Elephas maximus indicus: one gene and its partners. The protein of the gene in region 4 interacts with the protein of the main gene of each other region in a pairwise test. Links are inferred from orthologs where the notes say so. Each region holds a gene or a part of one and is shown on either strand. Other genes may lie near its edges. The genes, in order: ELOA, AEN, MAD2L1BP and HOMEZ.

Region 1 (7,357 bases), on a different chromosome or scaffold from region 4:
GAAAGGTGTGGATTCTGAATCTCAGACATCACTCGCTGGAGCTGGCGCTCTCCACTTGCATTACTATATTTGAGAGGGTGAAGCCAGTCTGTGAAGCCCAGCAAGATGCCATCCCTAAGTAAATAACCAAGTGAACATGTTTGAAGGATGTGAAACAAAGATGAATGTAGTCAATTCAGAAAAAGGAGCCCATGGGAGAAGAGAACAGTGGCTACAGCTGTGCAGAACAAAACTGCCCAGATGGAGGATTTTATATCCTGCTTTACACAGAAGACGATATTCTCTTTATCAAGGCACTCAGTTTTCCCTAATAATTGATGCTTTAAAAAAAAAAAAAACCTATATGCTAGCTGGAGCCCTGGTGGTGCAGTGGTTAAGAGCTCAGCTGCTAGCCAAAAGGGTTTCCTTGGAAACCCTATGGGGCAGCTCTACTCTGTCCTATAGAGTCGCTCTGAGTCGGAAGCAACATCAACGGATTTGTTTGTTTGTTTTTTTAATATGCTAGTTACGTAACACAATGTATTAACAAGCCTCACAAGAAAGCAGTAAGGTAGAAGGAAACAATTTCAGTGAGTTTTAGTAACTTGACCAGGAGTCCCAGTTAGCAATAGTAGAGTTGGGAATTGGAGCTTAGGTTATCACTGAGCCCCAGCCTGTTCTTTACACCCACCATCCACGCAGCCTCAGATGCTGCCTCCTTGGTAAGGTAGAGGAGTGGCAGAGCCCAGGTCATGATCCGTCCCACGTGGGAAGCCCTCCACCGTTACCTCTCACTCAGCACTCTGTCCAGCCCGCAGAATCTCACTTGACCATTCCATGACAGGCAAGGGATCATTTCGCTACTGAGGGCGTGGTGGTTGACTGTGTTTTTTATTTGTTTGCTTTTTAATTTTTTTTTTAATTTCATTGATCTGTCTATATAATCACCCTTATATAGCCAGCCTGGGATTGTTCTTTTCCAAAATTAAAATATCTTTGTTCTTGTTAAAGTAGATCATATTTGCTGCAAATACTCAAAAAATATAAAAAGCAGAAGAGGAGAGCCTTCCTACCCATTACCCCCCTCCAAGTCACCGTAAACAGGCCTTCTGTGCAGAGTAGAACGGGTCCTTTAATCACCTCCCAGGGGCCTGGGTCTGTGATGCCGGTAAGAGAACTAGGGAGTTCCCCTCAGGGTTTCAAATGATACTCTGGGTTGTCCTTCAATTTAATAATAATTAATTCTGTTTTCAACCAACCTTCATTGAATGTCACCTCTGTGCTTAATGTTGCCGATCCAAGATGCCCCAAAACAGCCTTTGCCTTAGGAACTTATTCCGGTGTTGGATAAGACTGTCACATCTTCCTCCCTCGAAGCGGCTGTGTAAACTAACGTGATTGGAGAGTGGCACATACATAATTAACTGCTCATCAGTGGTTGTCGGTGTTAGGTGCCATTGAGCTTGTTCCAACTCATATGGACCCTATGTACAACAGAACGAAACGCTGCCTGGTCCCATGCCATCTTCACAATCATTGCTATGTGAGAGCCCATTGTTGCAGCCACTGTGTCAATCCAACTCATTGAGGATCTTCCTCTTTTTTGCTGACCCTCTACTTTACCAAACATGATGTTCTTCTCCAGGGACTGGTCCCTCCTGATACCCTCCCCCCAAAAACAAAACCCATTTCCGTCGAGTTGATTCTGACTTATAGCGATCTTATAGGACAGAGTAGAACTGCCCCCATAGGGTTTCCAAGGAGCAGCTGGTGGATTCAAACTGCTGACCTTTTTGGTTAGCAGCCAAGCTCTTAACCACTGCGCCACCAGGGCTCCAAGTCCCTCCTAGTAACATGTCCAAAGTACGTGGGTCTTCGTCTCATCTTTCTTGCTTCTAAGGAGCATTCTGGCTGTGCTTCTTTCAAGACAGATTTGCTCATTCTTCTGGCGGTCCATGGTATATTCAGTATTCTTCGCTAACACCATAATTCAAAGGCATCAATTCTTCTTCAGTCTTCCTTATTCATTGTCCAGCTTTTGCATGCATATGAGGCGATTGAAAATACCATGGCTTAAGTCAGAGGCACCTTAGTCCTCAAACTGACATCTTTGCTTTTTAACACTTAAGAGGTCTTGTGCAGCAGATTTGCCTAATGCAATCCATCATATGATTTCTTGACTGCTGCTTCCGTGCGTGTTGATTGTGGATCCAAGTAAAATGAAATCCTTGATAACTTCAATCTTTTCTCCGTTTATCATGATGTTGCTTATTGGTCCAGTTGTGAGGATTTTTCTTTTCTTTATGTTGAGGTGTAATCCATACCGAAGGCCATATTCTTTGGTCTTCATCAATAAGTGCTTCAAGTCCTTTTCACTCATCAGAGAAGTATCCATATATTCGAGCATAAAGAGTACTTTCCAGGTAACCTCAGCTCAGGCTGACACAGCTGGGAGACGGGTGATGCATCCTCCCCAGGATCCCCAGCAGTGTGTGGGCCAGGGAAGGAACTGCGTGCACACGCATGTTTCTTTTCATCCTAGTTGTTGAGATCTCCCTGGGCAACATGCACAAAACGTTCCGTGTGTCCCAAGTACGTGCCAGGGCAGTTAGTCAGCAGTTCTTCAAGAGCCAGCCCATATTCCATTACTCCAGCATTTGCCTGCTCACCACCTTTTCAAAATGGAAGGAACTGAAGAGATCATTGAAAGGCATTTGCTTCTAGAGGAGGGAGACTCCCAGGGAAAGGTAGGGCTGGGACTAGGATCCAAGTCTTCTAATGCCCAGTTTGGTGCCCATGCAGAGCCTTAGGGGCATCAAGTGGACAGTTGTTAATCTAGTATGGACTGTTTATCCAGTGCTGGTTATATTGCTGCATGGTCCTGGGCAGCAGAGATTCAAAATCGGACCAGTGAGTCACTGCACTTAATAATAACTGCCAGTGGCAAGATGGATAAGTTGACAACTTTTCTACAACCTGAAAAGGGCCAGTTGCAAGGGAACTTGGGGAGGGGCACCAAGCCAAGGGCTGGGGGACTGTTGGGAGGGCTTCCCAGCACAGTGAGTGAGTGAATGAATGCTCGTTTGAAGAAACAACTTATATTGAGTTTATTTTCCAGAGTTAGGACCTGGAGAAGAGACTGCTGAGATTTCCTGATTAAGGCTAGAGGTCAAACCGGCGGCACTGCACCTCTGGAGATCTGGCTAGGATCTAATCTGATTTGGCTAATTAAAAGAGATACATAGTAAAACCTGGGAAAGCCGGATTCTGTGTAAGCTGGAAACCTGTCAAAGAAGGAAAACTCAAATATTTTCCACTAAAATGAGTAATAGAAAAGTGGTAAGACTGCACCCTGACAGAAGTGGGAAATTTGCGAGACCCAGAAAAAAACAAGGCATCCTCTGCGAGTTCTGGCTTTCACGGGTTTCACTGTAATTAATGCTGACATTTTAAGTTTAGACTGGTTCCTCTTTTTTGTAGTAATAATAGTAAAATGAGACACATGGACTATTATTGCCCTTATGGAGCTAAGCTGTTTGACTTAGGACAAATTCCTTTCTCAGCTTCAATTCTGAAACCTATTCAGAGGTATGGCTCACTCTGGATCTAGACTTGAACCAAACCAAACCCGTTCCTGTCTAGTCCACTCTGACTCACAGTGACCCTATAGGACAGAAAAGAATTGCCCCATAGGGTTCCCGAGGCTGTAAATCTTTAAGGAAGCAGACTGCCACATCTTTCTCCCGCAGAACGCCTAGCGCGTTCCAACCGCCTGAACCGCCCACCTTTTGGTTAGCAGCCAAGCGTTTACCCACTGCGCCACCACGGCTCCGGACCTAAACTTAGATTCAATTTTTGGCTTCAACTCTTCCCCGTTGCATTACCACATGCAAGTTAATTTGTTCTCTCTGATCCCCAGTTCCATCTGTAAAATGGGGATAACGTAACTCGGTTCATCAGGTTTTGTGGAAGCTGAAATTAAAGGCAGTCCAACTACTGGCGCATGGTGCTCAACCCAGGGTGGTCGCCGTCGTTGACTCCCGCCGATTGACTTCAGGACCACCAGCGGGGGTGGCGGTGTGGGATTTATAAGGCCAGCGTTTGGCGCTGGACCCCCAGTCCGTCTGGGACTGCACGAGCGGATGTCATCCCGGCCTATGGCTCCGCGCAGCGAGGCCCAGACGCGCGGCTGCCCAGCGGCGGCCCTCGCGCGACCCGCGTGCCCAGACCCTGCGGCCCCCGGCTCGCGGCGCGCGCTCCCGGGCGCCCGGCCCCCCGGGACCTGGGGGCGGAGCCTGCGGCCGGCCCCGCGCCCCCCGCCCCCCGGCCGAGCCCCGGAAGGGGCCAGTCGCGCTTCCGTCTCCGCCGGGGATGCACGGAGGGCGGAGCCGCGGCCCGAGGACGCGACGCGGACCCAGTTCCGGCGAGGAGGCCGCGCCAGTGACAGCGATGGCGGCGGAGTCGGCGCTCCAAGTTGTGGAGAAGCTGCAGGCGCGCCTGGCCGCGAACCCGGACCCCAAGAAGGTGAGTCGGCGGGCTGCGCGGAGCGGGGCGGGCGTTGGCCGGCGCGGGCCCCGTAACGGTCGCGGGCGCAGCCGGGGTCTCCGAGGGTCGATCCAGCCCCCCGGGGCCGGGGACTCGGACCCCGTGCCAGGCCCGCGGGGCTCGCGGACCCGGGTCGGGAAGTTCGCGGCCGATCGGCCGCTTGCCACGCGGGGGCTCCCGGTGTCAGGCTCGCAGCTCGGCGGCCCCGGGCCCCGTCCCTCCCTCCTGGTCCCCGGACGGCGAGGGGCGCGCTCCTGCCCGGCACCGCGTGCCCAGGGCTGTGCCCCCGCCGGGCTCCCGGAGCCGCTCCCTCGGCGCCCCGAGCCAGCTGTTTCCTGTCGGGGTGGCTCGCCGGGGGCCGGGAAGGGCGCTCGCTCCGGAGTTAACTCCTGCCTGCTCCCGGTTCCTGCGCTGCGTGCTTAGCTCCCTTGCTCTCCCTGCGAAACGCCCTCGGTTTCTTAGTGTCTTTAGGTGCCCAGAGGAGACGGTACAGCCTGTGCACGAGAGTCTAGACTCGGGGTATGTGGGGTCCTGCGTCCGTAAGCAAGGTTTTAATCGCTCGCCGGCTTTATGTTAGAGCACTGACCTTTTCGCTTTCTCAGTGAGTCCCTTTCACAACAAAATAAATAAAAACTCCACTCATAGAAACTTAGGTTGAAATTGGGAAGGCGAAGAAAAAAACAAAAAACGTTAGAAGTTGCAGCTAGATTTCCTTCTGGCCTTGATAAAAAAGGCCAGAGTGATGGGCATTTTTATTTTTACCTATTTAGTAGCGCTCGTTTGTCTCTCCTTCCTCTTACCCTGCTTCTCGTCTCTGGGAGCGTCTGGTGGGTGTTAGGATTTTTCCATTGAGGTGTTTGTGAGCATTCTAACTGGGCTGTACCCATACCTAGAGTTGAACCTCTGAGCCCGAGAATCCTGTTCAAAGAGGAAGCAGTGGAGAGAGGCAGTTGAGATAAAGTCGTGGAGTTTGGGTTCTAATCCGTTCAGCAGCGTAGACGTTGGGGGGAAGTTCCCTTTGCTGAGCCTGTTTTATCACCTGCATCATCGCTGCTTCCTAGGACTAAACTAAAGCTATTACGTGCCAGGCTCAGAGTAAGTGCTCAGTGGGTATTACTTGCCACTCTTTAAAAAAGGCGTTTTTCTCTTTACCTTGTTCTTAGTCTCTCATAGGAGAGGTTTTCTCCATTTCCAAAGGCTGCCTACAGCTTCTCATCATCAGGTCACTTTTTAACTCTCCTTCCACTTTTTCAGGAAGCCATTTTAGTTTTAAACCTGTGAAAACTTAAATGCTTTTAATTGTGTTGTGTGATATTTTCTGTTGCAGCTTTAGTGCCTAGTGGCCAGGCGTATTTGCAAGTTGCCTTTTACAGTTACCCTTTGTGGTCATCTAATAAATGGCCCTTATTTCTGAGTACTAGTTTGTTTTCTTAAACACTGTAAGGTTTATGACTGATTTTAAAACCACAATGCAATATTATGTCACCATCCCCCATTTGGTCTTTATTTCCATCAGATAAAAAGTGGCTTATGTAGCATCTATAGTCATGTTTCCACTAGTATTTAAGTTTTGAAGAAGGCTTTCTAGTAGTTGGTGTGTATGAAATATCAAATTTGCAAAACGCTTGTTGGTTTCCCATCCTTCTTGAACTGTACGTGATTTTTGTGAGCATTTGGACTTTGTCTTCATGGGTAGAAAATCACCCTGAACTTCTGGCTTTGTACTGTGAAGTGAGCATTATGAAGATGGCAGAATGTTGGGAGAGATCATTTTTACAGAGGACATAGTAGCTGGCATTCAGAAATGGTTTAACTGCAGAGGGAAAATTGCAAGCTGGCACACTGGCTGCCTTCCCTTCAGCCTTCTGTTAATGCTACAAGCTCGCACAGGTTGTTCTTGAAATTGCAAGATGATTATATAGCAGTATTGAATTTGGAACCAGATTTTGATTTCAAACCATTATTAGCCAAAGCGTTGATTCTACACCTACGTTCATGGATTTTCTGGCATTAAACACTGGTGTTTAACTGTAACTCAGTTTTCACCTTTAAGCCCATTTATGATCTAGGCTTACTTGGGGAGAAGGTATTTGGCTGACCAAGGCCTCTTGGTTTCTGTTCCACCTATTTAATTGAAGACTATTTTCGTGGTTGGTATAGTAAGGCATTAACACTTTAAAAAATTTACCTGTCCTGTGGTACATTTGGGGGTCCCGCTGGTTCAGTGGTTAAGCGTTTGGCTGGTAACCAAAAAGTTGGCAGTTTGAATCAACCAGCCACTTCTTGGAAACTCTATAGGGCAGTTCTACTCTGTCTTACAGGGTCACTCTGAGTTAAAATCAACTCAATGGCAATGGGTTTTGGTTTTCGGTATGGCGTTTCTTGAATGCTAAAACTACAAAGAACACTATTTGGTAGCAGATGGAGAGCTAGGCAGTGGTGTCAGTAGGGGAGTACCAGGGTTGTAGACCACACTGGGTGACACTGTCAGAGGGGGTGACACCGAAATAACTGTCTATAAAATTTTTATGCAGTGTTTCAGCAGAAGTTTATTACTTTTTAATAAAAAAATTCCTGTAGTTATAACAAGAAAAACATTTTTTGTAAGCCCAGCTGACATATATCAGTATACCTACTAGGCTAAAGCTCTATGCTGATGTACTTTTTGAGCCTTCTAATGCGCTCTGGTCAGAGCTGTCATTATCACCCAATTACAGTGACACTTCATGTGGCTTCATCTACACGCTACAGGCACGCACTGTTATTTTGTTGCTGCCGGTGTTTTTTAGTGGCTGATTTTGTCAAATTCTCTGGTGTTTTAGCTACAGTATTG
Region 2 (6,916 bases), on a different chromosome or scaffold from region 4:
TGTCTCTTGGGTTCATAATTCTCTTGTGACCTTGGTGTTCTTCATTCTCCTTTGATCCAGGTGGGTTGAGACCAATTGATGCATCTTAGATGGCTGCTTGTTAGCATTTAAGATCCCAGATGCCACACTTCAAAGTGGGATGCAGAATGTTTTCTTAATAGAATTTATTTTGCCAGTTGACTTAGATGTCCCCTGAAGCCATAGTCCCCAAACCCCCGCCCTTGCTCCGCTGACCTTCGAAGCATTCAGTTCATCCCGGAAACTTCTTTGCTTTTGGTCCAGTCCAGTTGAGCTGACCTTCCATGTATTGAGTATTGTCCTTCCCTTCACCTAAAGTAGTTCTTGCCTACTATCTAATCAGAAAATAACCCTCCCACCCTCCCTCCCGCCCTTCTCTCGTAACCACAAAATAATGTGTTCTTCTCAGTTTAAACTATTTCTCAAGATCTTATAATAGTGGTCTTATACAATATTTGTCCTTTTGCATCTGACTAATTTCACTCAGCATAATGCCTTCCAGGTTCCTCCATGTTATGAAATGTTTCACAGATTCCTCACTGTTCTTTATCGATGCATAGTATTCCATTGTGTGAATATACCATAATTTATTTATCCATTCATCCGTTGATGGACACCTTGGTTGTTTCCACTCTTTACTATTGTAAACAGTGCTGCAATAAACATGGGTGTGCATATATCTGTTCTTGTAAAGGCTCTTATTTCTCTAGGATATATTCCGAGGAGTGGGATTTCTGGGTTGTATGGTAGTTCTATTTCTAACTTTTTAAGGACACGCCAGATAGATTTCCAAAGTGGCTGTACCATTTTACATTCCCACCAGCAGTGTATAAGAGTTCCAATCTCTCTGCAGCCTCTCCAATATTTATTATTTTGTGTTTTTTGGATTAATGCCAGCCTTGTTGGAGTAAGATGGAATCTCATTGTAGTTTTAATTTGGATTTCTCTAATGCCTAATGATCAAGACCCAAAAGCAAACCCAGTGCCGTCGAGTTGATTCCGAGAGCTCTCTTTAATTTGTTAAGTGTCAATTTACTCAACTGTAAAATGGAAATAATAATAGTACATAACACACTGTATTCTTGTGCAGATTAAATGAGCATATTGCCTGGCTTATTGTTAGTGCTCACACACTAAATTCATACTGCTTATCATTGCTCTTTTTATACATGTTGCATCAAATTATCTGTTCACCTGGCTGTTACCTTGCCAGATTGTGTGCTTCTTCTGTGTATTTCAGCACTGGGCCCAAAGTGGTGTTATTGTTGGCTGGCCTCCAGACTGACTCACGGCAACCCTGTGCACAAGGGTCGGAAAACATGCACTATCCCAATGGTCTGTTGCAGATTGGACGGCTGTGATCCATAGGGTTTTCACTGGATGATTTTCAGAACTAAGTCTCCAGATCTTTCTTCCTAGTGTGTCACATGAGGTGTCCTGGCTGGAAATCAAAGCCAGGTCTCCCGCATGGAAGGTGAGAAATCTACCACTGAACCACCAATACCTCCGAGGCCCAAAGCAGAAACTTAACAACTTACTGCAGGAGGATAAATGAAAGAATAGTGCCGAAGGAGCAAACCTGACTTCTAAAAACCTTTACCTAGTATCTACCATGAACATGCTCGGCATTTCTCAAGCTGAAAGAAGAAGAAACATTCAAGTCTCGAGTTGCAATATTGAAGGCTTCTATGGGCAAAATACTGAATGATGCAGGAAGCATCGAAAGAAGATGGAAGGAATACACAGTCACTGTAAAAAAAAGAATTGGTTGACATTCAACCATTTCAGGAGGTAGCATATGATCAAGAACCAATAGTACTAAAGGAAGAAGTCCAAACTGCGTTGAAGGCATTGGTGAAAAACAAGGCTCCAGGAATTGACGGAATACCAATCAAGATGTTTCAACAAATGGATGCAACACCGGAAGCGCTCATTGTCTACGCCAAGAAATTTGGAAGACAGCTACCTGGCCAATCAACTGGAAGAGATCCATATTTGTGCCCATTCCAAAGAAAGGTGATCCACCAGAATACAGAAATTATCAAACAATATCATTAATATCACACGGAAGTAAAATTTTGCTGAAGATAATTCAAAAACTGTTGCAGCAGTACATCAACAGGGAACTGCCAGAAATTCAAGCTGGATTCAGAAGAGGAAGTAGAAGGAGGGATATCGCTGTAGATGTCAAATGAACCTTGGCTGAAAGCAGAGAATAACAGAAAGATGTTTACCTGTGTTTTATTGACTATGCAAACACATTCAACTGTGTGGATGATAACAAATTATGGATAACATCATGAAGAACGGGAATTCCGGGACACTTAATTGTGTTCGTGAGGAACCTCTACATAGACCAAGAGGCAGTCGTTCAAACAGAACAAGGGGATACTGTGGTTTAAAATCAAGAAAGGTGTGTGTCAGGGCTGTATCCTTTCATTATACTTATTCAATCCGCATGCTGAGCAAATAATCTGAGAAGCTGGCCTGTATAAAGAAAGACGTGGCATTAGAATGGGAGGAAGACTCATTAACAACCTGCATATGCAGATGACACAACCTTGCTTGCTGAAAGTGAAGAGGACTTTAAGCATTTCCTGATGAAGATCAAAGACAACAGCCTTTGGAATGGATTACACCTCAACGTAAAGAAAAAAATCCTCACAACTGGACCAATAAGCAACATCATGATAAATGGAGAAAAGACTGAGGTTGTCAAGGATTTCATTTTACTTGGATCCACAATCTATGCCCATGGAAGCAGCAGTCGAGAAATCAAAAGATGCATTGCACTGGGCAAATCTGCTGCAAAACACCTCTCTAAAGTGCTGAGAAGCAAAGATGTCACCTTGAGAACTAAAGTGTGCCTGACCCAAGTCATGGAATTTTTAGTTGCCTCATATGTGCACAAAAACTGGGCAAATAAATAAGAAAGAGTGAAGGAGAATTGATGCCTTTGAATTATATTGTTGGTGAAGAATATCGAATATACCATGGACTGGCAGAAGAACGAACAAATCTGTCTTGGAAGAAATACAGCCAGAATGCTCCTTAGAAGTGAGAGTGGCTAGACTCATCTCACATTCTTTGGACATGTTATCAGGAGGGACCAGTCCCTGGAGGACATCATGCTTGGTAAAGTTGAGGGTCAATGAAAAAGAGGAAGACCCTCAATGAGATGGATTGACAGAGCGGCTACAACAATGGGCTCAAGCACAGCCACTATTGTGAAGACGGCCCAGAACTGGGTAGTATTTTGAGCCCCGTTTTTTTGGCCCGGCCCAGCGCAGCCCAGCCCAGCCCAGCCCAGCTTGAACCAATGCGAAGGCACCTACCAACATAAGCATTATTTCACGAAATCCTCACATCACCTGGAGTGGTCCGTGTATTACTCCTAATCTGACTCTGTAAGTCACTGGTGGGAGGGGGAATAGGATCCCTGTTGGTGCAAAGGTTAAGGGCTCAGCTGCTAACAGAAAGGTGGATGGTTCAAACCCACCACCTGCTCCATAGGAGAAATGTGCAGTTTGCTTCCGTAAAGATTTACAGCCGACGAAACCGTATAGGGCAGTTCTACTCTGTCCTATGAGAAGTCGGAATCGACTAGAACGTCTGGTTTTCAGAGTTTACAGGCGTCCAGCTCCCGACCCTGGGGACGTAGGTGGGAGCCGGCAGGTTGGAGGAGCCCAAGCTTCTCTTCCCGCGGTTAAAAATCTCCCGCCAGCGCGGCCGGCGTAGGGGCAAAGCCACACCCCTTTCGGGAATCTCCTCCCTTTCTGCAGTCTTACGCCCACTCCAGAGAGGCAAGCTCTTGACCAATCAGAAGAGGCTTTAGGCGGGCGCTGCTGTTCAGCGAGCCAATCGGCAGGCAGTCGGAGCCGGGCTTGCCCGGGCATGTGGCAGCTGCCGGTCCGGGGTCCACGTGCGGGCAGGAAGAGACGTAGGGGACGTTAGGTGAGTTGTAGGGGTTACGCACTCGGAGCCGGCACCGGGTGGGCGGCGCGGAGGGTGCCGGGCCGCGAGGCTCTGTGCGGCCGTGTCCGTCCTCGGCCTGCGGCGGGCGGTGCCCAAGCTCAGTCAGCCCAGTTCTCTGGGCCGGCGAGGTTGCAGGCCGGGGCCCCGGCCCTGCTTCTGCCCGGCCCCTGGCCTGCTCCTGTGGTCCCGGGGCTGAGGGGGCCAGCGCTGGGCAACGGGACGCGCGGCCTGGCGGGGCTGGCGTGGCCGCCGCGGCCCGTGGGCAACACGCGAGTCCTTCCCTGGGTGAGGTCAGGCCTGCCTCGCGTCGCTCCTCGGAGAAGGCCGGCCAGAGGAGATCCTGCGGAGCTCTGCTCGCACTTTTTTAATCCCTCGAACTTTTTAATGTCACGGGGACCTTCATCGAGCCAGATGGTCTCAAATTTGGGTGCTTTTCAGAATCATAGGTTCCGGGGTCGCGCCAGCTCTAGTTTAAAATACAGATTCTCAGGCCCATTTCCAAGAATGGCTGTTCAGAATGGCCTGGAAACAAGCGTCCTAAATGTTTCCGGTAATTAACTGCGTTGGGGGAGCCCTTAACCTAGTTCAAAGGCCTCCGATTATGGGGAAGGGACGTCCCTTGCCCCGGTTCGTTAGGCTCTTGAGTGCCAGAGCAGGGTCTAGAGCTGCCCTTCTGATCAGCCAGCAGGTTGGTAACCCCGAAGCCACTGGCGGTTTTTGTATTCTGGTTCCTTTGGGGCCCTTGCTCTAGGGACTCTGCTGCTGGGGCCTTTCTCTTGGGCGAGGGACCCTGCCCAAAGACCCAGAGGGCTCGGTTCGGCTGGAGAAAGAGATTTGTTTTTGTCCTTGTTGAAACAGTTTTGATTTTTGAGAGAAACTTCTTTACAGCTTCGCTTGAGAACTTTTGGTTGTGACATTTGGCAGCAAGGTCTGGGCATATAGAAAAGGTTGCCGTCATCCCGTGAAATATGAGACCATAGAAGCCTTTTTTCAGGGAATCCTAATTTCTGGCTTTGACACCCTGCCAGCATAGTCTGGAGGGCCACCAACTGGAGTCCCAGACTCAGCTCCAGACCTACAGAGCCCTCTCCCAGAGAACGGAAAGGGAAATATTATCTCCCTAACACAAATCAATTATTAGAAGGGTCAGTTTTGTTCTTCCCATTGCTGGGCTAAGGCAAGTGGAGATTCTGTATTTGTCAGCTCTAAGATGTGACTCACCAATGCGAAGAAGTGGGTTACGTATTAAGAGAACTTTTAAAAGGGAGAAAGAAGCCTTCTTGGGGAAGGGACAAGCAAGCAGGGTGGATGAGTCAGGATGGGTCATCATATCTTGCCCTGGCCTCGGGTGTCTGAGCCCTGCTCATGCAAACAGTGACATCATCCAAACCCCATCCGGTCACCAAATCCTGGCATCTTACTTCATATCCCACCCCCTTCCCATTTCTCTTAACCGTTTCAAGACCCAGTTATTTTCTGCTTTGGATTTTTTATTGGTAGGTAGTATGGATTTTCCTGCCCCCCTCCAACAATCCTACCCTCTGAGTCCCGAGGGACATAGTTGCCCCACTAATATTACCCCAGATGCTCCCTGGAGTTAAAGGGACATATGATGATGTCCCAAAGAAAAATTTTCAAAATTTCTCTTTCTCCAACCAGACATACACACACCTCATACAACACCTTGTAGAAATAGTAATTTGTGGTACGTGCCTGTTTTTTCAGTTTCAAACAGTCATCAGGGCCCCTGCCTTGCAGCAGCATGCACTATTGGCGGGAAAGCAGCTTCCCAATGAACCTGAGGTGGGAAAAGTGGGTGGGCAACTGGATATTCCAACTGTCATGAAATGGTTTTAATTCTTAGTGTTCTTGTCTTGTCCTGACCTCCCTGTAAAGGCAGTTATGATCCTGTTGCCCTCCAGTCTGTTCTCCGGCTTTCTACCAACTCTTAATTCAGCCCTTAATTTTCTGCTTCTGTTTCTGTTTCTGTGGATAGACTGAACTCCTAAGAGTCCAGGATCCATCATAGTAATTCTGTGCCCAGCACCTGGCACAGAGTCAAGGAGACCCCAGAGAGCCTTGCTGTGGCATTGGAGAAAGGGGTGTTCCAGAAGGGCTGCCTGGGGGATGCAGAGCAGCAGCCATGTCTGAAGGGGAAGCTGGGTAGGAAGTGAGGGAGGAGGGAGGTCTGTGGGTGGGAGGGTAGTGAGTCCGGGGGGCAGCACTGGCCTGGGGAGAGCTGGTTACCAACCGTTTGCTAGAGTGGGAGCCTCTCAGGGAAAAGAGTGATGGTTATTGTGCCCCACTATAGATAATAATATGCAGATCCCAGCACATATATTGTGTCCTTTCATCTCTGGACAGCAAGGGAGGTGGTGGTGTTAGGTGCTGTCGAGTCGGTTCTGACTCATAGCGACCCTATGCACAGCAGAACGAAACACTGCCTGGTCCAGCGCCATTCTTAAAATTGTTGCTATGCTTAAGCTCGTTGTTGCAGCCACTGTGTCAGTCCACCTCATTGAGGGTCTTCTTTTCCGCTGACCCTGTACTTTGCCAAGCACGATGTCCTTCTCCAGGTCCTGGTCCCTTCTGACAACATGTCCAAAGTATGGAAGACGCAGTCTCGCCATCCTTGCTTCTAAGGAGCATTCTGGTTGTACCTCTTGCAAGACAGATTTGTTTGTTCTTTTGGCAGTCCATGTATATTCAGTATTCTTCGCCAACACCACAATTGAAAGGCATCCATTCTTCTTCGGTCTTCCTTATTCATCGTCCAGCTTTCACATGCATATGATGCGATTGAAAATACCATGGCATTTTTTTTGGGTCAGGTGCACTTTGTCTTCAAGGTGACATCCCTGCCTTTCAAAACTTTAAAGAGGTCTTTTGCAGCACATTTACCCAATGCAACATGTCCATTGAT
Region 3 (7,356 bases), on a different chromosome or scaffold from region 4:
CTCGGAAGAGACGGCGCAAACAAGCCGCCGTGTTCAGGCTCTGCTCCCTGCTGTCAGGGACCAGTCGGGACAAGTCGAGCTCATAGAACTCCTTGGGACTTAGAGCACTGCCCCCAAGAAGGATCAGCACTCGTGGTACTAGTGTCCGGGCAAAGAGGACCTCTAGGTGGCTGAAGACACTCTCCAGTTCTGCCAAGGCTTGCTGGCATTTCTTGCTGCTTGTCTCAGTGGCGGTCCGAGGTTTCTTCCTCACCACATCCTCTGTCTGTGAGGACAAAGTACGGTGGGAAAGAGGACAAGATAAACAAAAAAAAGAATTGCCATCGAATTGATTCTGACTCATAGCGACCCTACAGAACAGAGTAGAAATGCCCCATAAGATTTCCAAGGAGCAGCTGGTGGATTCGAACTGCTGACCTTTAGCCTAGCAGCCGAACATTTAACCGCTTTGCCACCACGGCTCCAAGAGGACAAGATAGGGAGATGTTAATGCCCCAGCTAATATCCTCGGAAGAACACTTATGGGACTGGATTTCCAGCTCAGTGAACTGCCATTACCAAAACGTTGGGTTTTATCAGAGAGCATTGTATCAAAAGGGAAAGCATATTCATTGCACAAAACCACAATTCTCCCACACTTAGAACAGCAAAGACAGTGCTCTGAAGCTGGAGGGCATCCAGAAAGAGGCAACTAAAATAGTCAAGGAGATTTGGTGGCATGGCAGAAGGTGGCAAATCTTTGCTGCACAGGGAGTGATAACAGGAATGAGGATCATGGGGTCCAATAACAATGATTCTGGAGTTGGTCTTCCATTTAAACATAGCAAACTGAGTACATGTTTATTTGTGCTCCCACCTGAAATACTACTAAAGTGAGAGAAAAGAAATTAAGAAAGATAATGAAAGAAAGAAAAAAAACTTCCAAGGGCAAAGAGAATTGGAGAATACATAACAGTGGCCAAGAGGCCACAACAAATTTTTGGAAGGTAAAAGCAGATGGATAAGTCAGAGTTCAAGAGAGCTGAATACTAAGTGCAGCCAAAGAGGACCCCGTTAGAAGCAAACCAGTTCACTCTGCAGAACCCCAGAAAGGCTCAGGAATCGGCGGTATCAGGCACCATAAACGGCAAGAGTAAACACAAGGAACTGGGTGAAAAGCTGTGCAAAGACACTTAGACTGTCTGCCAGTTTCCTCCCCGACCCAGAGAGAAGACCTTCCACCACTGATGTTTCGGGAGTCCCCCAAAGAGACCACTAAGTTCCCACCTAATCTCCTTACAAGTCCATCAGCTCACAAGGCCCAACCATACCCAAGAGTGTTCGATCAGCTTTCAATGACTTACTCTTAAGTATTCAGCAGGCACAGAATAAAAGCTTCCAACATGAAAGTCAGAAACCAAAACAAATGGGAAAAGAAATTTGGTAGGAATGAAGACACATGAAAGAACAGAGTACTACCTTCAGGTAAGAGAAGTTAATATAGTAGTGAAACAAGAACGGGACACTATTAAAAAGAAACATACAAAGATAAAGAAAGTGCTCTTAAGTATATAACTGCCCAAAAACAAAACAAAACAAAACAAAAAAACAGAGGTGTTAGAACATAAAGTCAAGGAAGTCTCCCAGAAGTAGAACAAAAAAGGAAAGAGAGGAAAATTTGGAGAGAAAAGACACTAAAAGTCAATTCAGCAAGTCTATATGTAACTAACACATGATGAGTTTCTGAAAGACAACAAGAGAAAAAGTGGGGACGGCTAGACTACCAAAGACTACAGTGGGGAGAAGATGACTGAAGCCCTGGGGCTGAAACAGGCTCCTTCCTTACAGTCGCTCAGCCTGACAAGTCCTGAAGCATTCTTAGACCCCTTTTTTGCCTGTCTACCATCTAAGAGGAAACCCTGGTGGAGTAGTGGTTAAGAGATAAGGCTGCTAACCAAAAGGCTGGCAGTTCCAATCCACCAGCTGCTCCTTGGGAGCTCTATGGGGCAGTTCTACTCTGTCCTATAGGGTCACTAGGAGTCAGAATAGACTGGATGGCAACGGGTTTGGTTTACCATCTAAGAGCCACAACATTTTTCCACCAACATTCCCCCCAAAGCATGTGCCTACCTGAGGCGGTTTTCGGTAGAAGTGCTTAAGCTGTTCATAGGGCAGAGGGAGTTGCTGGCGTTGGTACATGATATGCTTTAGAAGTTCACAAGTAAACTGGCAGCAGCCTTCCTGGCTCACAGGCCCCGGAAACACAACTGGCACCATGCAGTCTCTAGGACCAAATTGTTCCGAAGGGTTGAGAGGTCCTTGAACAGAGGTAGTCTCAAGTAGTTCTATCTGGGGGACGTGGGTCTCCTCCGCCTTGTCATACCACTCCAAATCTGGTACGTGAGCAGAAGAACAAAGAAAAATGAAAAGCTTAAAAGCCAAAGTCAGTCTTCTTCATTCTCTTAGGGCCACTATATCAGCCACTACAGCGAAGAGGGCCCCCGGACATAGGCGCAATCCCTCCGCTACCGCCAGCGTGGGCCGTAGGGGGGAGAGATTCCTGATCCTTCTCGCCTGAGGTGTGGGATGTTCGGAAGCAGTGACTGAAGCTCCGCCAAGAAAGCTGCGGGCCTACAGATCTAGGGAAGTAACTCGAAAGAAAGCGTAGTCAAGTGGGGTCCAGGACGCGGAGAGGAAGGGGCGGGGGGGGGGCGCGATCGGCCAGCAGTCAGAGCCGTGGAGGCAAGGGAGTCACTGGGGCAGAACTAGAGCGGGGCGGAACGCCAAGAAGTGGGTGACAGGGCGATGGACAGGAGAAAAGGCCAAGGGCTAAGTGACTGGAGGCAGCAGTAGTCTGTAAGAAAAGGGTCCCCAAGGCTCCTTGAGCTCCGAATCCCACGCCTTACCAGGGACTGCGTCTACAAACGGCACTTCCGGCTCCAGGGCTGCCATCACGACCTCATTCCTCTTCGCCCTGCAGTTTGAATGGGTGCCCCGCGGGGCATCATGGGAAGCCCGCGTCTCCACTTCCGGATCGGAAAGGCCGGAAGAGGGGGGTGAGGGAGGCTGGACCAGTTGGGGAATCGAACCCTGCTTTTTCTCGCTGTGTTGTGAGGATGGCTCAGGATCGGGCAGTGTGTTTCGTTCCTTTGTACATAGGGTCGCTATGAGTCGGAACCTATTCGACCGCACCTAACAACTCCCTCCCTAACACCGGACATGTCTAGCCTCCCCTCCCCGCAGGGAGCCGCTGATGTCAGCCTTCCAGAGGACACCCGCCCTGAAGTCATCTATCCACTGCCTGAATTCACTTTTCACTGTGAACCTACTTTGTGCCAGCCCCTAAAAAAAAAAAATTTTTTTTTTTTTTTAGCCCCTAGGTGCTGGAGAATTAGGCATGCACTAGACACTGGCCCTATTCTCAGGGGTTCACTGCCCTTCCATAAAATACAGTGTGATGAATTATACATTGAAGTGTACACGGGCTGTGGAAGCAAAGAACAGAGGCACCTAACCCAGATGGGGTGGGGATAGGGTGGTCCCAGAGGAAATGATGCCATAGAAGGCGTGACCCGTAGGATGGGTAAATAAGCAAGGTAAAGAGGAGGGCCTAGTGTTCCAGAAGACCTTGAAAGACCAGAGCAGCATCCTCTGTTCAAGAAATGAAAAGACCATAGATTATTGAGAGTTAAAGCTGAAATGAACAAACAGGCGCCAGATCTTGGCAGCGCCTTATAAACCCTTCAAAGAGTTGAACTTGATCTTGTTGGGGAGGGGGAGGTTTGAAGGTTTTAACTTGGGAACGACATGATTACGTTTTATAAATTTAATCTGTACACTGGCTACATTGGATGATGAGGATACTAGAGGAGGTATTGATACCAGTTGGAGATAGTGACTGCAGTTATCCAAGGGCATGGTAAAAGAGGTCTGAACTAGGGAAGTCACAGTGGGGTAGAAAGGATTGGGTGAACTCTAGAGATATTTAGTAGGTCCGGTGAACGTGCCTTGGTGGCTGATCTGAGGAGAAGGAGAAGGAGGGATAGATAGAGGCTACCAAGAATTCAGGCAGGTTTCCAGCTTCATCAACTGTGTAGCCAATAGTGCTAGTCAATAAAAGAGGAAACACTAGAGGAGGACCAGGTTGTTTGGGGATGGGTAAGGTGAAAAGATGAGTTCGCTTTTTGATAATGATGGTTGAGTCTGATGTCTCCATAGGATTGCCAATAGAGATATTCAGGAAAACCATTTGGAATAGAGAGATATATTTTGAGTTATCCCTATGGGCATAGATAAAGATCGCCCAGAGAGAGTATGTAGAATGAGGATGTGTAGAGACAGGATTCTGAAGACACGAATACTTAGGGGATGAGCAGAGAGAGAAGAACCCATAGAGGAGACTGAGAAGTGGTCAGAGAAGTATAAAAAATAGGTAAGTGTTGGACCACTGAAGCCAAGAAAAGTGTTTTGAGAAGCAGAGACCAAAGGTCAAAACATCATAAACATAGTGATTAAAATAGTGTGGTATTGACTCAGGAATAAACAAACAAATCAAAACAGAAGAGTTCAGAAACAGACCTATGTATATGTGGATCTTAGTATATATGATGAAGGTTGCTTTTCAAAGCAAATATAAAGTTATTTCCTACCACAGACCCTACATAAAGGTAAATTCCAGATGGGTTAAAGATCTGAACATAAAAACAAACCCTCAAAACTACTAGAAAAAATATTGCAGAATAATTTGTAACCTAGGAGTTGGCCTAGGCATGACCCTTAACCAAAAAAACATAAAGAAAAAGATTGCTAGGTCTGAGTTTAAAACTTATGTAAAGGCATTGTATACAAAATTAGCTGACTATGTACTAGAAAGGAGCTGTCATGGATTGAATTGTGTCCCCCCCAAAATATCCGTCAACTTGGCTGGGCCATGATTCCCAATATCATGTGATTGTCCACCATTTTGTCATGTGATGTGATTTTCCTGTGTGTTAAAAAAAAAAAAAAATCCATCTCTATGGTGGTAATGAGGTGGGACTAGTAGCAGTTATGTTAATGAGGCAGGATTCAATCTATAAGATTAGGTTGTGTTTTAAGCCAATCTCTTTTGAGATATAAAAAAGAGAAGTGAGCAGAGAGATATGGGGAACTCATACTGCACCAGGAGCATATCACGTCCTTTGGACCAGGGGTCCCTGTGCTGAGAACCTCTTTGACCAGGGGAAGATTGTTGGCAAGGACCTTCCTCCAGAGCTGACAGAGAGAAAGCCTAGCCTACTAGACTGTGAGAGAATAAATTTCTCTGTGTTAAAGCCATCCACTTGTGGTATTTCTGTTATAGCAGCACTAGATAACTAAAACAGTAGCCCTGGTGGCAAGATAGTTAAAGCGCTCAGGTTTTAACTGAGTAGTTGGCGGTTCAAACCCACCAGTGGTTCACAGGAGAAAGATATGGCAATCTGCTTCCATAAAGATTATAGCTTTGGAAGCCCTATGGGGCACTTCTCCGTCCTATAGGGTTGCTATGAGTCGAAACTGACTCGACAGCAATGGGTTTGGTTTTTAGGGGCTTTTTAAAATATGCCAGAAAAAATGTTTGCAATAGGTTAATATCCACGAAAACCAAACCAAACCCACTGCCATCGAGTCAATTCCGACTCATAGCGACCCTATAGGACAGAGTAGAACTGCCCCATAGAGCTTCCAAGGAGCGCCTGGCAGATTTCAACTGCCAACCTCTTTGTTAGCAGCCGTAGCACTTAACCAGTACGCCACCAGGGTTTCCTAATATCCATGTGTATATATATATATCCATGTATATATATATATCCCACAGCCATAGGTATCTCGTAAACAATACCTTGAGAAAACTAAACGTATATACTATTCTCCATTTCCCAGTACCCCGATCTACTGCACAGACATCCCTGTTCAGCCTACTCCTCTGCCAGCCTTCATTCCTGTCTGTGGTAGGTCCAACTGTTCAAGAATAGGATATCAGAATGGGCTATCCCCTCCGATCTCTTAAAAGAAGGTCTCTACTTAGAAGGCAAGGAATTTGAGACAGAAGAGGTTAAACTGTGTGTCTTGGGTTGGTTAAAAGATCCATGTAGATGAGAGGACAAGTGTTTTATCAGGCAAGTGCAGCAGCCTGTGGTTATCAGGAGGGCCCAGATGGAGGTGGTGAAATTATTGAGGGAATGGTCTTAGCTCTTGCTTCAAACCCCACCCTTCTTGAGATCTCTGAGTTCTCCTGTCTCAGTCTCTAAGCAGCAGTGTCCCTGGTGGGGCTGTGCCCCGGATAGGGTTGACTTCTGCAGCATAGCTCTTCCTTCAGCTGCGCGGGGTTGAGAAGAGAGAAGACACTTGATGTGCTTTTAACCGCTCAAGACCCACATAACTGGCTGATTTGGGCCAACTTTGCAGATTTGGGCCGATCTCACTCTTTGGGGTATTTACGCCATGTGGATTGCAACTACATGATCAACAACCTGTCTCTCTCTTTGTGGCCCTGGGCAGAGCCATGGAATCCACCAAGTCTGAACCCTTGATGGGATCACCAGAGGTAAGCCACATTTGCTGCTTCCAGTTTTCCAAAGGAAAGCTGAGGTCTGGAGGGAAGGGTTTTATTTTTTGGCTGTGTTTGAGCACCTCACCGTTTGTGAAGAGAGGGGAGGTGGACATTCGGTGAGTAGTGAGTCGTGAGACAGCCATGGGGCTGGAAATTGAACCCTGACGTCCTGACTCCCAGTCCAGCAAAACTAACTGGTTCTCAACCGTGCCTTTCTGATGATGTCTTGTGCACTAGTTTATGTCATTGAATGTGTTTACTCTTTGCCGACTGCTAGTGGCCTAAAGAATAGGAGAGGAAGAGATGGCTTTGCAAGAAAGTCAAAAGTCACCAATCTGCGGTGGCCTTTGGCCAAGTTTCTATTTACACTCACCTCCTCCTCCTCAACCGAATTGCTGTTACTGGAACCCCAGCCCCGCCCCAAGTAAAGGCCAAGCCCCGCCTACAGCCCCGGCTCTTTTAAAATCGACGTCGGTTCTCCCCGATTGGTTCGGCTTCAAAACAAAGGGGAGGAGGGTATTCGCTAAGGGTATCCTTGTAGCCCTCAGGCATCACTGCGGTTTATGGGTTAGGGCTTCGTGTTGGGGCCACCGCGGTGCCTTGGGCTGCTGAAACCAGCCCCCGGACTGTGCCGGCTCTAGTAATAAAGCAGTGACTACTGTGTAAAGGTGGCAATAATCATCGCAACAATAACAGCTGTAATTAGGCTAACCATCATCAGCCCCCACCCTGGCGTTCGCCCCGACTCACCCTGATGGCACGCCAACCATCAGGGAAGAAACTGAGGCAGAGGTGGAGCCAGGAGG
Region 4 (7,739 bases):
ACCGCCAAATCCAGGCTGAAGAGTACTTCATAATTGCAACACTTGACATCTACTTACCCTCATATAAACTGTTCCATAAGGACACAATAACACGTTAGATATGAGGAAAGGTAGTGTAAGGAATGAAGCTGTCCAGTGTGACGATGAAAACTGCCAGACAGGAACACAAGGCAGGCACAGCTACAAGCCTACAAGGAGGCATTTTGCTTTCATTCATGTTATTTATTTGATACCCTTTAGATTCTCATGGCGTCAGCTTGATATTTCAGTGTAGCATGCAGTAATGCAAATAATATATTTAGTGTATGGTATACAGCCGCAGTTTTCACTTACAGAAAGCACAAGTTGTGGAAGATTTCCTGAAACAGAAGGATGGCTTAAATCAAGGGGCAGCTATATAGCTGGTACCTCCCTAGAAGAATCTGGCTTTGAAATAGGAGGAAACTACAATCAGAGTGGCTCATGAGAACTGTCACAAGTGGGGCAGGTACCCTACAGTAATCAAAACCACAACGAACATACCACAGTGTCTTATGTTCTCATGCCTCCATTCTGGATTAGGTAGAAAAAGAAAAGACTCAAAGCTGAAGAAGGACTTCTAGGGCAGAGGTGATTGGGGCGGGGGGGCGGTCCATTCTGAGTAATTACTAAATCTGTATCCTTAATAAGGATATAATCTTTAACAAAGGATACTATGCCAAATATGTTCTACTATTACTTAAAGTCACTAATAAGAAATATGGAATCAGTATAACACCCAGAAGGAATTCCCCTCAGGCCTTCCACACCCCTGGGTGTATGGCAGAAAAGGGGCTACCTTAAGCTTGCAGTCTAGGCATTCTTCACACAGTCTGAGGAAAAAAAGGACTTTAGAACTTTAGGCTCAAGCCTAGGCTTATGGTTAAAGTAGGAGACGGTCAAAGTGGGGCAATAGACATGATCCTTCTAAGCTCCCCAAACATTTATTCCAGAAGAATTGACATGCTGCCTGAAATGTGTTTGGGTGATACAGTTTTAAGTATCTGAAAGAACTAGTGGTATTCAATTTATATGGTTCTTAACTTTTGGATCATGAATCCCTCTGAGAGAGAAAAGTTATGGACTCTTAGAAAGTTATGACTACCCTTTCACAATAAACATTCACACTTATACATTATAAATAATCTCAGGGGGTTGGTCATTGTCTGCCAGGAGCCCAAGTTAAAAACCTCTGCTTTATGGCTTCCAATTTTAAGGCAATAATGGTAATCACTTAAAGATGAACAAACATGTTGATGTGAATGAATGGAAAAAGTGGATGGAGGACTCGAGAATTTGAATAAGCCTAGAAGGGATTAGTGGTATTAGTTGGAGAGAGTGGAAGGCAGGGGTATTCAACAGGGTCAGAAGCCTGGTGACCCACTGGATTACATGAGTGATACCCATGGTGCACTGAATACTAGAGGCTAGTAGACTATACTGCAACAAAATCTGCTTCAGCCTGCTTCCTCAAGCTGCCCTGTGTGCTTAGGCTAGTTGTGATTCCACACCTGCTTATGCCAGAAGCTTTTCCTGTATTTCTATAATGTAATTAAATACCACATAAACCTGTGAAAAAAATTACTGCATTAAAAACCGTTCCTGTGAAAACTAAGTCAAATGCTGACTTAGACATGACACAACGGGGAATACATTTTTATAATTGTTGAATTGGGAGTGAGCAAGACAATTGTAAAAGATTGGGAAGGGGGAATCTTAAAACCAAAACTGGAATCACAGATGATATATTATGGGTATAGTACATAGAGGCTTTCATCTGTAAGACTGCAAATTAGAATTACCTGGGAAACTGAAGGAAAAAAAAAAAAAGCCAGGCCCCGTTTTCCCTTTTTGTGTTAGTTTGGACTGGGGTCCTGGCATTGGTAGATTTTAAAAGTTCTCAGGGTTTCAGAATCACTCTTGTAGTTTATACTAGAAAGACAACTGGGAACACCAATCAGCCGACTTAGACTTACACAAAGAAACCATCTTGGCACTATACCAAAATATTGGTGAAATGAATGTACTTTTAATTATGTTTAAGATATATAGGCGTCGTTTTTTTAAATTCCCAACTCTGTTTTGATTACTGCCATCTACCAATCCTCATCATATAACATAAAAGGGCTTCCAGTGTATGGCGAGAAGTAGGTTCACAGGATAAAAGATCTGATTTGGGCCCACATTACCAAGTAGGTCTCATCTTGAGTCTTCTTTCAGTTTAGAAGTCTCAGATGAGGACGCAACACCAGGAACCTCTGAGGACTCGAGTTCTCACTTTCCTGGCTGGTTTTCTGAGTATGGCTGGTTAGGGTGAGAAGGGGCAGTTTCTTGTTAACCCTTCATTCCCAAAGGTCACTGCTCCCCAGAAGGCCAGGTACGTGTGTTGAGGTCGCCAGGAAGTAGCCATGGGGGGGGGGGTAGGCCTGGGAAGGAAACGTTTCTCCTGTCCTCCATTTCACAAGCAGTCTAGGAGGCTCTGAACTGGGTCAGAGAACAAAAAGTTGCTACACTTGGGGCGATGAGCCCCGAAGAGCAGGCGAATCTCAATCTTCCCCTCTTCAAGGGCGTACCAACCCAGCCTCCCCCTCCTTACACACCCACTCACCCTACCCCAGATACAACAGGGAGCCGCAAAGTCCACAAGAGAAAGGAGGGAGCGCCGGCGGCTTCGAACCTAGAATTCTCCTCCTTCCAGCGCGGGGATGGGGCTCCGGAGGTCGGGGATCGTAGAGGGTCTGGGAGGGGAAGTCGAAGGAGCTGGGGATCACTCACCGCAGTCCGGCCCCGGCGGCGGCTCCCAGCCTCGCACCATGGGCCGGGGGGAAAGGGGAAGAGGGGGCAGGGGGCCTCCGGAATGAGAGTAAGGTTGCTGCCCCGCGCGGCCTCCTCCGAGCCCACCCGTGCGGAGGGCCCGGACCGGGACTGACCCCCCCCCGCCCCCGAGAGCGCGCCCGTCTAGCCCAGCCCTGCTCGAGCGAGTTGGAGGCGGGGCGGATGGGTGGGGCGCGCGCCTAGGGGCGGTGCCAGGGTGGCCCGAGTTCTGATTGGTGGACGCAGGCCGGCGGTCACCGGCGGAACGTACTGGGTCGGCTATTGGCTGTACGGGCCTTGACTGAAGTCAGCTATTGGCTCCGTGAGCCACCGGCGGCGTGGGCTATTGGGTACGTGGGCAGGGAAGCTGCCCCGCGGGGCCACCCTCATCCTATCGGTGCCGAACCGTGGAAGTACACCGGCCAATGTCCCTCCCGGAATTCCCTGGGGAGGGGCTCGAGCACTTTGCCGAAGTGTCCAGGTCGCCAACAGCTACCCCCGGCTGTTTCCTCCTGAGAAAAGCACTCTAGGAAGCCCCTTTTATCATCCATTCCCTAACCCTAGAGTCCCTGGGTTGTGCAACCGGTTAGCGCACTGAGCAGCTAACCGGAAGGTCGAAGATTTACATTTACCCAGAGTCGCCTGGGAATAAAGACCTGGGAATCTACTTCTTGATAAAAAGCTCTTGAAAACCCTGAGGAGCACAGTTCTCTGACACACATGGGGTTGCCTTGAGTCAGAGCAGACTCCAGGGCTGATAGTCTGGTCCCTAGCCCTATGTATGTGCAGTGACTTCCCCAGCCGAGGCCCAGTCGTCACCAGCAGTCAGCTCCAGCAAAGCAACCTAAAGCAAAAAGGAACTTGTTCTGGAGATGAATCTGATGTTTCGCCGCTCAGAAAGTTGAGGATCCTATGATCCCGGTGTCTCCTGCTGCTTCCCCCAGACAAGTTGGTACCAGACAGGTTCCCCGAGACAAAGTGCCTGAGGGGTTACCAGTTGGGACCTATCAGACCCTCCGACCCACTTCCCTGCCTCTGTAAAAACCGGGACCTCTGCCTCATATTTGGAGACCTTGGTTTTCATTGTCAAGAAAGGGCTGACAACGAAATGGATTTTCCCCCAGGCAGTATGCCACACGCTAGGAAGTTCTGGACCAAAAGTTTGTATATTTAGAATTGTTTATCTTCTGACTAAAATTTGGGAACAATGTATTTCCGATGTGCCTCTGTTCTTATGCTGGTCTTTGAAATAGTCTCTTCTTGCTTATTTAGGTCACTTAATAGCTTATGTAGCTACAATAGTTTAGAAAACAATTCCACGCTTTACGCTGTATTCTGCAGGCCTCACCAGCCACCCCCACCCCCACCCAAGAAAAAAAACAACCACGTAACTCCTACTTCTCATTCTTCATTGGTCCACTTTTAAGGCTGGAGCTCTTTGAGGGTTGCCTGACATCATAAACATGTCTCTCTTTCAGTGCTGACCCTATTTTCTGTTACTGGCCTTGTATTTGCCTCACCTCTCCCTCTCCCTCCTTACGCTTAATAACAATATCCAGTCTTACATACAAGTTGGATGTCCTTCCAAGTATTATCTGGCAAAACATCTTAGGGGTAAACAACAGAAGCATGTATACTCAGCTTTAGGGTTAGAAACTTTTGATCCCTCAAGGTAAGAGCCAGGTGTATACAGACCTTCTAAATCATGGCTATTACAGTCCTCCAATGGTTTTTATTTAATGAAGGAAGGGAAAAATGAAACATTTGAGGCAGCAGCAGCCCTCAGTTTCCAGTGGAGAGGTCATTCTGTTCTCATCCAAACAATTAGTAAAACTGGATTGACTGGGAAGAAGTCATGCTTGTTTGGCTGGAAAGCTGACAGGAACTGGCTGTGGGAATGAAGCGCCTGACCCTGGAGGGTTAAGTGAGTCACTCTGGGCATCACTGACTATGGGCTTGGAATTATGAAAGGTGAATAACTCAGCTCCCTTTTTTGTCTGAGAGTTAGGAGTGGGGGCAGGAACAGAATGGAAGACAGATTTAGTAGAGAGAATGCAAGGAAGGGAGAACAAACTCCCTTGCCCCAATTCTGGAGTGCAAATTGAAGCCTCCCTCTTCTACATGTGTTTCACCCTGAAGTTTTAGAAGATGGAGTGATTTAGGGTAGGAGAATAGAGAAGAGGAAGAGGTCCAAGCTGACATTATCAGAGAAGGGAAGGTCCCATCATTAGCAAGACAATTACCCTCCCAGCTCTTCCAGGGACTGCTGTAGTGCTAAGAATAGGGACTCATCTTGTTATCCTCAATATTAGAGATGTTAATCCTCCATCTTTGGTGAAAACTCTCTCCCCCTGTGGGGTAAAGAGTGTAACTTTACTCAAAGTAATTTGGTCTTTGCCCTTGTTTCTTGAGAGATATCGCTAAACTCTTGGAGTTTCCTGACTAACTGAGGTGCCTTTATTATCTGGGGAGCTTTGGTGGCATAGTGGTTAAGAGATCGGCTGGTAACCAAAAGATCCGCAGTCTGAATCCACCAGCTGCTCCCTGGAAACCCTATGGGGCAGTTCTACTCTGTTCTATAGGGTTGCTATGAGTCAGAATCCACTTGATGGGTTTGGGTTTTTTAGTTTTATTATCTGGGGCCTTGGTGGCACAGTGTTTAAAAGCTTGGTAGCTAACCTAAAGGTCGGCAGTTCAAACCCACCAGCCGCTCCTTGGAAACCCTGTGGGACAGTCTATGAGTCAGAACTGACACCATGGCAATGGGTTTGGTTTTTGGTTTATTGTGCAAATGAGTGGGGGACTGGCCAGGCCACGAAGGCCACCAGGTGGCCTTGTAGCAGGTGACCTCTCAGACAGGGAAGGGGTCATGATTCAATCAATAATGCGTATACAATGAGGCTCCAATAAAGAATATGGACATGGAAGTTCCATGGGCTTCCTGGTTAGTGAAAGACATCAGTGCATGGGGGACTGTAGCACACCCTTTGGGACATGGAAGCTCTGTTTTGGGAGCCCTCCTAGACTTTGCCTTTTGTGTCTTTTCATTTGTGTCCATTTTTTCTATAATAAAGCTATAATCATAACAGTTTCCATGAGTTCTGTGAATCATTCCAGCGAATTATCAAACCTAAGGGAGTAGTGGGGGTCAGCAAGTCAGAAGTGAAGCGGGGAGGGTTATGGGAACAATTAAGCTTATGGCTGGTGTCCTGGAGGGATAGTAGCAAAACCCCGAACTTGTAGCCAGGAGACTAGAAGTGAGAGCCTGGGTGAGACCCCCAAGCTTGCAGCTGGCATCCTCAAATGGTAGTGGAAAAACTCTGAATTTGTAGCCTACAAAGGGCAAAGTCTGGGAGGGTTCCCAAGACAGAGTTTCCATGTCCCAAAGGGCATGCTTACATTCCATATAGAACTACGGGTGTCTTGTGGAATCCCAAACTTGCTGCTGGCATCTGGTCTTAGGCCCACCTGGCAGTCTGGAGGTCTGTGGGCTTTAACTTTTGAGATCTGACCTAACTCAGGGTGCTTAAGGTCAGAGGAAGAAGTGCTGCATGGGGAGGGTGTCAGAATTGAACAGAGAAGTGAAAAGTGGGGATGTGTTATATCCTCAAAGTTGCTGTCAGGAAAAAGTGGCTATTTGGTATTATATAGTTGATTATTTATCCACTCACCTCCCTTTCTTGGCTCAGATATTAGCAAGACTGACCAGAGGCACATTTCCCTGTAGCTTAAGAAGCTGGAGTTTCAGGGCCCTCCCTTGCACAGACCTCTTTCCAAGGCACTGGAGGGGACCCAGCAATATGCTCACATGGTAATAGGTTTTTGTAAAATTTGGAAAAAAAAATTTTTTTTAGCTGCAATTGGTTAAGATAGGTGTCTCTTTCCTTTCTGGCTTTCCTTCCATCACACTTCCTCTTTTGTCAGGTGGCAGTGGAGAGGGGCCACAGGCATTTTAGGATTGGCTAAGGAATTTGAATTGAGGATATATTTAGTTTGGGTTTAGTAGGTATATTTATGTGGTTTGCAATTACTTCTGTGAGTAAATTGTCTTTGTGTAGGTATAGCTCCCAGGAATACTCTTAATGTCGTCAATTCAAAGAGTATAATACCATACAGTGAAACCTGTGAGAGCCGGAACCTGAAGGACTGCTTTGTATCTCCAGGTCTTGCAAGTTTTCTGCCTTTGACAGTGCATTCTTACTATTTTTCTATTACTCTCTATTTCGTGGAAAATATTTGAGTTTTCCTTCTCTGACAGGTTTCCACCTTACACAGGTTCCAGCTATCACAGGTTTTATTGTATAACATTAGAAAAAAAAAACCTGTTGCTGTGGAGTCAATTCCAACTCATTGTGACCCTATAGGACAGAGTAGAACTGCCCCATAGGGTTTCCTAGGAGTGGCTTGGTGGATTTGAACTGCTGATCTTTTTGGTTAGCAGCTGTAGCAGTTAACCACTACACCACTAGGGTCCCTGTATAACATTAGTCATTGCAAAGAAAATTTGAAATGCTATGACCACATATATGGAAGAAACTTGTCAGAGGTTTTCCAAAATGTGACAAAAGTTCTAAAAATATATAACTTCACCACTAACAAGATGTGAAGGTGAAATTTTTCTAACTTAGCAATTAAAAAAAAAAAAAGTAATGATCAGCCATGCAAGAGGAAAGACTGAATTACCTTCCTATACTTTCTATAGAAAACATTATATATTATCATCATGAGAAAAGCCTATTGAAAAGCATGCAGTTAAAAAAAAAAAAGTATTATGGTTTTGCCAGGCAGGTTATTTTAAAAATGTGTTATTTTTCTTGATATTGCGATATTGTCAACTTCTTAAAAATTATAATTTGGTGTTATCTTTTCTCATTCTAAAAAAGAAAAAATCCACTTTTGTGCTTGAT

The links.
Region 1: the proteins of HOMEZ (region 4) and ELOA interact in binary tests that used the Homo sapiens proteins (3 or more experiments, as listed by UniProt). The two-hybrid records come from large-scale screens. The link is inferred for Elephas maximus indicus from reciprocal best matches to the Homo sapiens genes HOMEZ and ELOA.
Region 2: the proteins of HOMEZ (region 4) and AEN interact in binary tests that used the Homo sapiens proteins (3 or more experiments, as listed by UniProt). The two-hybrid records come from large-scale screens. The link is inferred for Elephas maximus indicus from reciprocal best matches to the Homo sapiens genes HOMEZ and AEN.
Region 3: the proteins of HOMEZ (region 4) and MAD2L1BP interact in binary tests that used the Homo sapiens proteins (3 or more experiments, as listed by UniProt). The two-hybrid records come from large-scale screens. The link is inferred for Elephas maximus indicus from reciprocal best matches to the Homo sapiens genes HOMEZ and MAD2L1BP.

The regions. Positions count from the first base shown.
Region 1 is NC_064821.1:64,161,198-64,168,554, forward strand, and holds the start of ELOA (elongin-A), read left to right. Parts: upstream 1-4,335; 5' UTR 4,336-4,350; coding exon 4,351-4,503; intron 4,504-7,357. UniProt on the Homo sapiens protein: SIII, also known as elongin, is a general transcription elongation factor that increases the RNA polymerase II transcription elongation past template-encoded arresting sites.
Region 2 is NC_064831.1:77,118,517-77,125,432, reverse strand, and holds the start of AEN (apoptosis-enhancing nuclease), read left to right. Parts: upstream 1-3,895; 5' UTR 3,896-3,972; intron 3,973-6,916. UniProt on the Homo sapiens protein: Exonuclease with activity against single- and double-stranded DNA and RNA. Mediates p53-induced apoptosis.
Region 3 is NC_064819.1:108,058,198-108,065,553, reverse strand, and holds the start of MAD2L1BP (MAD2L1-binding protein), read right to left. Parts: upstream 3,003-7,356; 5' UTR 2,932-3,002; coding exon 2,886-2,931; intron 2,373-2,885; coding exon 2,110-2,372; intron 266-2,109; coding exon 1-265. UniProt on the Homo sapiens protein: May function to silence the spindle checkpoint and allow mitosis to proceed through anaphase by binding MAD2L1 after it has become dissociated from the MAD2L1-CDC20 complex.
Region 4 is NC_064828.1:34,618,179-34,625,917, forward strand, and holds the start of HOMEZ (homeobox and leucine zipper protein Homez), read right to left. Parts: upstream 3,006-7,739; 5' UTR 2,834-3,005; coding exon 2,794-2,833; exon of another isoform or gene 2,696-2,793; intron 1-2,695. UniProt on the Homo sapiens protein: May function as a transcriptional regulator.